Linked DNA regions of Coturnix japonica. The protein of the gene in region 1 interacts with the protein of each later gene in a biochemical or structural test. Links are inferred from orthologs where the notes say so. Each region holds a gene or a part of one and is shown on either strand. Other genes may lie near its edges.

The links.
Region 2: the proteins of CCNA1 (region 1) and MYBL2 form a complex in vitro, tested with the Homo sapiens proteins (2 studies listed by BioGRID, with this or other methods). The link is inferred for Coturnix japonica from reciprocal best matches to the Homo sapiens genes CCNA1 and MYBL2.

Annotation. Positions count from the first base shown.
Region 1 is NC_029516.1:154,345,278-154,349,848, forward strand, and holds the start of CCNA1 (cyclin-A1), read right to left. Parts: upstream 3,082-4,571; 5' UTR 2,898-3,081; exon of another isoform or gene 2,878-2,897; intron 2,800-2,877; 5' UTR 2,783-2,799; coding exon 2,660-2,782; intron 1,906-2,659; coding exon 1,662-1,905; intron 1,442-1,661; coding exon 1,317-1,441; intron 1,039-1,316; coding exon 815-1,038; intron 55-814; coding exon 1-54. UniProt on the Homo sapiens protein: May be involved in the control of the cell cycle at the G1/S (start) and G2/M (mitosis) transitions. May primarily function in the control of the germline meiotic cell cycle and additionally in the control of mitotic cell cycle in some somatic cells.
Region 2 is NC_029535.1:3,104,676-3,109,038, forward strand, and holds the start of MYBL2 (myb-related protein B), read right to left. Parts: upstream 3,064-4,363; 5' UTR 2,953-3,063; coding exon 2,933-2,952; intron 2,466-2,932; coding exon 2,372-2,465; intron 1,271-2,371; coding exon 1,199-1,270; intron 810-1,198; coding exon 717-809; intron 1-716. Other genes in the region: uncharacterized protein LOC107322882, read left to right, coding at 3,922-4,363. UniProt on the Homo sapiens protein: Transcription factor involved in the regulation of cell survival, proliferation, and differentiation. Transactivates the expression of the CLU gene.

The DNA.
Region 1 (4,571 bases):
TCTGTTATATACACAAATTCATCCACTTCTGGAGGGTAGATTTCTTCATATTTCCTGGGAAAAAAAACAGAAAAGCCAGATTTGTGAACTTAAAAGTTAAAGTAACAGAACTTTCTGCTGGGCCCACATCAAGGTGAGCATATGACATTTCTAAGACAGGCTTAGAGGTCTTATTTTAAGATTTCCCTAGTATAGGAGAGGCTTGATTATCAGATTGGTGGGAAGGCAAAGATGTTCTCTAAGTCATCAGCCTAAATAGTCATACACTCATACTAGCACTCTTGACGAATAAGAAAACTCTTAAGGAAAAAATGTCAGTAACATCATGCACTCTAGACAAAAATCCATGCACCCTTAGGCTTTGCTGGATACCCTGCCTATTTAAAGCAGTTTAAGTTTAATTGCAGATTGCAACTTTTAACCTACTATGGGCTAGTGGCTTAATACAGCACTGTTTTTGCTTCTGGTATTATGATTACAAGGTTCTCCCTCTACAGTTCCTTAATAAAGAATATTAAATTCTTAGTTTTGCAAGAGTTAAAGTATGTTAAGTGGCTAATGACAGAACCCTAGAATCCTTACACTTAGAAGGAACCTTTAAAGATCATCTGGTTCAAGTCCCTGCAATAAGCAGAGACAAACACAGGTTGCCCAGGGCCTGATCCAGCCTTACCTTGAAAGCCTCCAGGGATGGGGCACCATCTTAGGACAGCATGAAAACCTACCTACCACCACAAGCTTAAAGTCCTTCAAATTAAACTAAAAGTCCAAAAATAAGTTCATCTCACTAAGATTTCATGAGATAAACACTCACGCTGCCAGAAGAATTGCCGCTGTTCCTACAAGCTGCAGCTTCCCTCTGAGAACAGACATACAAGAGAGAAACCTGTCCAGGTAGTTCACTGCCAAGTACAGTGTCTCTGTTCGAAGTTTATATTCTTCCCCTACTTCCACCAGCCAGTCTACTAAGATGGCACGCATTTCTGTTGTGATATCTGGTTGCTTCCTCATGTAGTAGGGCTTGGGCCTGTATTTCACCTGTTTAGAAAGACAATTTAAGAAACAGAACAGCCGTTGAAGTCACATGCGTTAGTATTTTGCAATAATCTACTCACATCCCATCTTCAGAATGTGGAGTAATGCCTGAAAAACATCATCACTGTCTAGAAGATTTCTAAGAACTAAGCTCCAGTAATGGCTTTAACTGTTTGTTCAGTGACAGCCTAGAGTTAGTGTGTGACAGCCATATGGCTTTGCAGTATTGCAGCCTTTAAGGAAGATCCTACACAGCTTTACATTTGTTAAAATATACTCACTTCAGCTTCTCTGAGGTACTGATGAATGTCTTCTGCATACTCTCCCACAGTCATTAGAGTTATAGGATCTCCCATCTGATCCTCAGGCCGGGACCGGAAGGATGTGTCCACAAGCATGGGAGATGCTAACAGGAAAGAGAAGCCAGGAAGGCATTTAGTTGATTAGTCTCTTCACTACCTCTGTCCATTTCTAGCATAGAAGTGTTGCGCATCACACTGACTCAATTAAAGTTATCATGAAGTGGTAACTATTTGAAGATAGGCTACTCACTAGCTCACTGCCAGCATGATTCATAACCACATTGCAAGTACCTGTGATACCATGTGAACATTAACAGGAGTTACCTGTACTCAGATCCAACAGTAGGTGAATGCTGGATGTCATTGCACTAGTATCCAGTTCACACAGGCTTGACTCCAGTTCTTCATCCTCTTGGCAGCTGAAGTTTTCTTTCTCTTCTGGTTCATCAGTGTAAATAGCAAAGTCCTGTTTTGATGTAGTACTGACCACACAGTTGGATATTTCATCTTTTCCAGCTGGAGGGAAGGCATTCTCAGAGCCAGATAAGTGTCTGGTAATAGCAGTATTCTGAAACAGAGTACACAATAAGGCTGTGGCAAGGTAATTCAAGAAGAAAACAGCAGTATCATTTGTTTTAGAGAAGGTATATCACTTTCCTTGGTTAACGGACAAATAATTACAAGTTTGCTGGGAAAGCCAGCAGCTACAGTTGTTACTTAAGAAATACTGCTTGCTTCTGCAACAGAGACCTTACAGGAGGCGATGGGCAGTGCAAGCCAGAAACCAGGAGCACAGCCTCACTCCCACAGAGTAAGGCAAGGACACTGCCTGACTCCAACCTGCTGGCATGTGCAGGGTCTGCTCCATATTCACTTCTAGCAAGGAGAAGGTGCTACAGCACGTCATGGCGATGAAAGGAAGCATTCAGGCACCATCACAGGCTTAACAAAGGACATTATGGGCCAAAATAAGTTCAGTTACAAAGCAAACTTTGAACTTCTGAACTTAAACACCACAATCCATAAGATTTCAGGTTACAATTCTCCCCATCATCGACCATCTACTGACTGAGCTATGGGCTTCACACCACCAAAACCAAGCATTCCACAGGCACACACAGCTGGGTGATGTCCTGTAAGCCAGCACAGCTGCTTTCTCCCTGCCACACCAGCCATCCCCAATTAGGGACCAGAGAGAGAGGGCTTGGGAAAGCCTCGCTAATTCCCCTTACTCCCAGTAAACGCAGCCGGCACGGCATTCCCCAGGCCGACCACGAAGCCCACCCCGGTCCCACGGCTCACTGGGGCTTTCCGGGTCTCACCTGGGCGCTGGGCCGCTGCTGCCCGTTCTCCACCAGTACCCCCAGCACGGTCCGCCCGCCTCGGGGCGCAGCGGGGAGAGGCTCCCTCCGCCCCGCTTGGCTCATCTCCCCCGTGCGGCGCATCACCGCGACTTCGGCACCTTCCGGACGAGAGGAAAAAAAAATAACAGCACTTAAAAAAATAAATTAATTAATTAAAAACACTTAACAAAACGTACCTGCCTACGGAGCCCCGCACCTGCCTCGGACGTGGCGATGGATTCAGCTACGCTACCCCCTCCCAACGCAGAGCCGCTCGCTGCTGCCACCCGCCGCTCCCTATATAGGCGGCGGCCTATGGGCGCGGCGGCGGCTGTTGGCCGCGGCCAGTTGGAGGCCGGGGCCGCAACCACCCGTGCCGCCGCCCTGGTAACCCAAGCGGTCTCGAGTCGCCGTGGAGACTCCACCAGAGCCGGGCTGACCCAGCAGGGACCGACGCGGGCCGAGCGGGGCGCGGGGCGGGGAAGTGCAGGCCCGCCTCCGCCCCGCGCCGGGTCCGCTCGGGCCGGTGGTTGGAGCCGCCTCAGCCCCGCGGCCGGTGGCGGCCAGCGGCGGTTTCTCGGTTTTTGAACCCCGAACCCTGATGAAGGAGCCGTTCGGGCAAAAGCAGAGCGGTTTTAAAGCATGAATATGAATAACGGGATGAGTTTGTACGCGGTGTCCCAGAGATAAGGTGTTTGTAGTGAGAAGGGAAGCTAGAGGGATTAGCGAAAGCAAGGGGGATGTGTGGGAAGTGGGAGCAGGCAGAAGGAACGAAGACCAAACAAGATAGAGCTAGCAGGCAATAACAAGAGATCCGCGATTACAAGGTCAACAGAGAAAACGGCCAGGGGAGGGCTAGATTCGAGCAGCACTGAGCCCATAGAAGCATTCCGTCTTCTGGCTTTGGTTCCCACTGAGGAGGTCACCACTAGTAAGACCGAAATAAGGTCACTAAATAATGAACAACCAGGTACGAAGGAAGCAGGTCGTTTCTGCCTGGTGCTGATAGAGGACTTGGGCAGATGTGCTCCATCTCCTTGTGAGCTCTGACAGGTTTCCAAGTTATAAGAGGAATGCCACCAGGCTCAAAAGGAGACAGGAATCAAGAGAGGTTACCTTGAGAGAGTCAGGAATCAAGAGAGGTTACCTTGAGCTCCCATAAGAGTTCAGTGAACAAATAATCACTAAGAACTAAACATTTAGAGTATAAGAAAAGGATGTAAAATGACAACAGCAGCTTTACAGGAACCTCCAGTGGAGCATGAGTCTCCATGTTTACGCTAGACAGCCATGAACAAGCAGGAACATAGCTTGAGTGGCACATGAGCCCTCTGAAAGTCCATAGAGAGTACAAAAGAAATTAACCTCTTTATTTGCAATGGCAAGAGCAAGCAGCATAAGGGCTTTACACCATGAGGTTTAGATTAGGCATCACAACTGTGATGCTCCAGAAGAGATGGCACAGGAGGTTTGTAGGATTTCCCCCTTCTGATCTGTAAGATCAAGTCAGAGAAATTGTCATCAGGAATGTCTCTGCTTTGAGAGAAGTTCTCGGGATAATTAAAGCGAAGGGCTCAGATAAAGATTTTGGACCCATCAAGCAAAGCCAAATCTGTTTTATACACTGCTTGTCATCCAAGCTGTATTAAAGTCTATGTTTTTTTCCTTCCCTCATTTCTCATGTTTTTTAAATTGACCTTTCTCCTCTCCTCTCCTCTCCTCTCCTCTCCTCTCCTCTCCTCTCCTCTCCTCTCCTTCTCCTTCCCCTCTCCTCTCCTCTCCTTCTCTCTCTCCTCTCCTCTCCTCTCCTCTCCTCTCCTCTCCTCTCCTCTCCTTCCTTCCTGTTGTTTTTCTGAGCTGAATCAGAGAAAAAAGGCCAACAATTAAAACA
Region 2 (4,363 bases), on another chromosome or scaffold:
ACACAACCTGCAGTTTCATGCCCCACTAATGCCACAACACGTGGTGCAAGCACAAAGCAAAAATGAGCAAAATTCACTTAAAAGCCATCTGCTTGGCAATTTCCTCTTCGCCTAGGGCCTTTACATGTTGGCCTAAAGCTCAGTGCAAATGCTTCCAGGTAGGGAATCTTTTCTGGCTGGCCTGAAATAAATCCATGCAACAAAGCAATGTAACATAACATGCTGCTCGCAGTGTTTATCCTGCCAATATCTCAGAGAGGAGGCCAGATGACTCCAAAAGAGCACTTTTACCCTCTCCAGCAGTGCTTAGCTGAAAGGTGCAGGTAGCAGGTGCACCACAGATCTTGCTCACAGGGTCCATAACTAACACTCCTATTGCAGACTGACTGCCTAGGGCAGACAAATGGGCCACAGATACCCACGTTCAAGGATCTGGATTGTTTGCAGTGCAAAACTATCCAGCTTCAAAAAGCTGGAGTCTGGCTTGGCCATGATGGCAGTGGGCATCAGGACTAGGTTGGCTGGCAGAACAGGACATAAAGAGGGGAAAATAGGCAGCAACTGCTCTGCTGTAAGAAGGTAGAAGGGCATTGTTATAAGCTTCCTCAGGAAGTGTTTGATGTAACACAGATAGAAAGCTGTCTAGGTCTGACACCTCCACTTTGTTGACAGAGAGTCAAAGTCCAACGCTCAGACCCTGTCCTTGCCTGACTTACCTTTTGGTCCTCCTCTTTGGTCCAAGGGCCCTTAACCAAGTCTGGATTCAACACCCTCAGCCACCGGTACTGACACTGCTGGTCACTGCGGTTCTGGGGAAAGGAATCAGAGCAGATATACATTAGACTGGAGGCTCCAAAAACCCCTGTAGAAACACAGCAGTCCTCACACACACAGTCTGCAACATGGAAAAACTACAGATGCACAGAGAATGCATGCTATGGATATAGTACAGGGTACTGGGTATAGATACAAGGACAGGAACCCCAATGTCTCACTCCAGCTCCCAATAAACTCACACCCTCTAAGCAAGAAGGATGTGTCATCCTGCCCTAGAGGAACACTAAATTTGTTCAACAGTAGCAGCCACAGAACAAAGTGCCATCATACAAGGTGTTGCATGGAGACAGCCAGTGCCCTGAGCACAAGAAACAGCATGCAAACAACACTACAATTCCCAACCAGGCAAAGGGGCACTTACAGGAAAGTGACTGGCCAGGAACTTCCAGTCATTCTGTCCATAATGTCTTACTAACATCTTCAGCTGCTCATCCTGCAAGGAACAAAGACATCCACTTTCACATACACTGAGCAAAATATGTCACAGTCATCACTCTGAAAGCAACAACATCAAGATATGTTAGATATTCAGATATTTATTAATCGTTGAGCTTTTTATGTCTGCATTACAAGGAAGAGGATACTTAAGTTCTTTATCAGTGTCCCAGTGCACAGAAGCCAGTGGGAACACATTTGGCTCAGAGCTCTGTACTAGGGCAAGTTCCTGGTGTGTGCATGATGAGAGCAGAGTACAATACAAACCCAGTTGCTGTGGTCACATACAGGCCCACACTGAGTTTAGTTCAAACTATGCAGCCAGAGCTACCTGCTTATCCAGCCCCAGTATGTCCCTGACCAGGCAGCCTATCTCCCAGCTCTCATACTGCCTTTGCCTGGCCAAAGAGACCAACTGTTTTAAGTACATCACCACTAACCAGGCAGCCCGCTGCCTTTCTACACTGATAGTTCTACAGCACTTCTCTCACAAACCCTACACTACAGGGCTTCCTTGCCTGAGGGCAAGGAAATGAAAGATCTTGTGGGTGGGCAAACAAAGGTAAGAAACAACTCCCTGCCCAACACAAGCCCAAGATTTTGATCTCTGCCCAAAGGCCACTCTTACTCCATATTCAGAGCTCAAGGAAAATGAAATGTTTTGTAGTTTTTCACAAAATAAAAAGACTATGAAGGGACCAGAAGAAATGCAGAAAAAACGCCAACTCATTTCAGGCTCTTTGCCACAATCCTAAAGGTCCCAGCCCTGTCCACATTGACTTCAGAAGAGGGCATGTGCACTGCATGAATCAGCTCCAGGCCTCTGCCACCCTCTAGCAACTGCTGCAGGCAGCTGATAGCTTGCTGTAGGCCCAGGTGCTGAAGTAGTCAGAGCTCTTTGCTCCCCAGGCTTCAAACTCACCTGACCTTCCTCTCATCAAGGCCTCAGCAAAACAGACAAAGGGCCTTCCCCAGCAATGAGACACTGTGAGTGGGTGTTGTGGCAGCAGGCAAGGAGCAGGATAAGGTGCTCACACTGAAGGCCTACCCAAACTCTACCAATAGCCCTATGAGCAGTGGCTGCCCGGCCCTCACTCACCTCCTCCTGCGTCCACTTGACCTTGCACCTGCCATCCCGCTGCTCGGGCACATCCGAGTCGGTGTCCTGGCAGTGTAGCTCATCCTGATCCTCACTGCAGAGCAACAAGCAGAGCGTTATTGCCTCCCCTGGGCAAAGCACAGCACTCCCCCCACACACCCGGCCTGCAGGGCCCTGACCTCCAGGACCCCTCTGCGTGCGGGTCAACCCCACATTAACACAGAGAAAGGACAATCCTTCGGTTCCAGCCCATCAGTGAGGGCTCCGTGAGCCCAGGCCCCGCTCCATCCCCCTCCATACAGCTCCCCAGCCCTATTCGTTACTGCTGGGGTACAGAGGGCACCAAAGCAGCGCACAGCGAGGCTCCCACAGGGCCGGGACCGCTCTCAGCCACCGGGCCCAGCCTGAAGGCATCACGAAGAGGCGGGCGGCGGGCCAGGCTCTGCTACCCCATCCATCCACACCGCTCAGGGACACCGAAACCGCAAGACCCCATAGACCACAGCCTCCCCCCCATTGAGAAGACACGGAACCATCCGCACCCCGGGGGGCTCCACTCACCCTCGGTTGCGGCGCGCCATGGCGGCGGGGCCGGGCGGCGGCGGCGGCACTTTCCTATCTCGCGCCAACGGCTGCCCCCCACCCCGCGCGGGGCCGGGCCGCGCATGCGCACTAAGTCAGCACCGCACAAAGACGCGCGCGCGGGAGGGCGCCCTCCCGCCTGAGTGCGGCCACCACAGAGCGGGACAGCACCAGAATGAGCCTCCACCGCCTTAATGCCGGACTAACAGAATTAACCCAACTAACTTGCAGCCCTCCCCCCTCCCAAGTGATTTTAATGAGAGAATTAGCCCGTTAATTAATCCCCAGCACTATAAAAGCGCTCCGAGCAGCGCTAGTTAAAGGAAGGGCTGCGATCCTGAAAGAAGCCTCTGTAGGAGCTAAAGGCAAGTAGTGCTCGTCTTATTGCCTAGGTTTTTCTCTGTTTAGATGCTATTTAAGGTTTCATTTAAGGATGTTTCCCTTTGGGATGATCATATAACTGTCCTAAGTAACCTAGGGAGCTTTCTGCTGTGACTCTTGACGCTCCAATGTGATGTGATATAGATATTATGTTATTTAGGTATGATGTAATTTAGGATGCTGTAGTGTCCCCAGGTCACCCTGGTATAGCTATGTTTGTAAGGTCTCTATGCTACCCCTATTGGGATGTAGCCTGGCTCTACCTGGGATAAATGCTCTCCTGACCTCAGGAATGGAGATAAAGCCTTTCTGATGGCCACCTCAGTGTCCCCTGCAGCAGAGATGCTTCGAGGCCCCTCATACACAAAGCTAAGAGCAGTGCTATGTAGGTTGAGTGAGCACAAACCTAGGAGTGCTGCCTTGCCCCGTGCTCAGCAAGGGGCCTGAAAAATCATTCCTTGGTGCTGTGGTTTGGGCCCTGTGTCCTGTTAGGAGATGGGGTGGGGAGGGTGCCCTGCCTGGATCTGAAGGGCTGCCCTTAAACTGCGTGTTCCAACAGGGACTCCTGGTTCCTCCAGCCCTGCGCCATGCCGTCCTCGCAGCAGCACAGCACCCTGACCATTAAGGACCTGCTGGACAATGGATTTGTGGCTGGGGCCTCTGGACATACCCACTTCTCTCCTGTGTACAGCTACTACCTGGACTCCAGTAGTGCCCCAAAGCAGAGTACCTGGGAGCTGCTGGCAGATGTGGACACCACGAGGGGCAGCCCTGTGTGTATGGTGGCACAGCCCATGGGCAGTGGAGTGAGGGCTGGCCTGGGCTCCTCGGACCTCAGCTTCCTCTCCTTCTGCAGGAGCCCTTCCAGCCCTGCCATCCTCAACCTGTCAGCTGTGCCCTGTGAGCTGCCTGCAGGGCCCGGCTCCTTGCTGGATGTAACATCAAGGAACACCTCCACACCGTGCAAAGCTGGGAAGCGCCTCAAAGAGAGAGCGCTGTCCCATAGCACGGAGCTGCTGAGTGACCTGC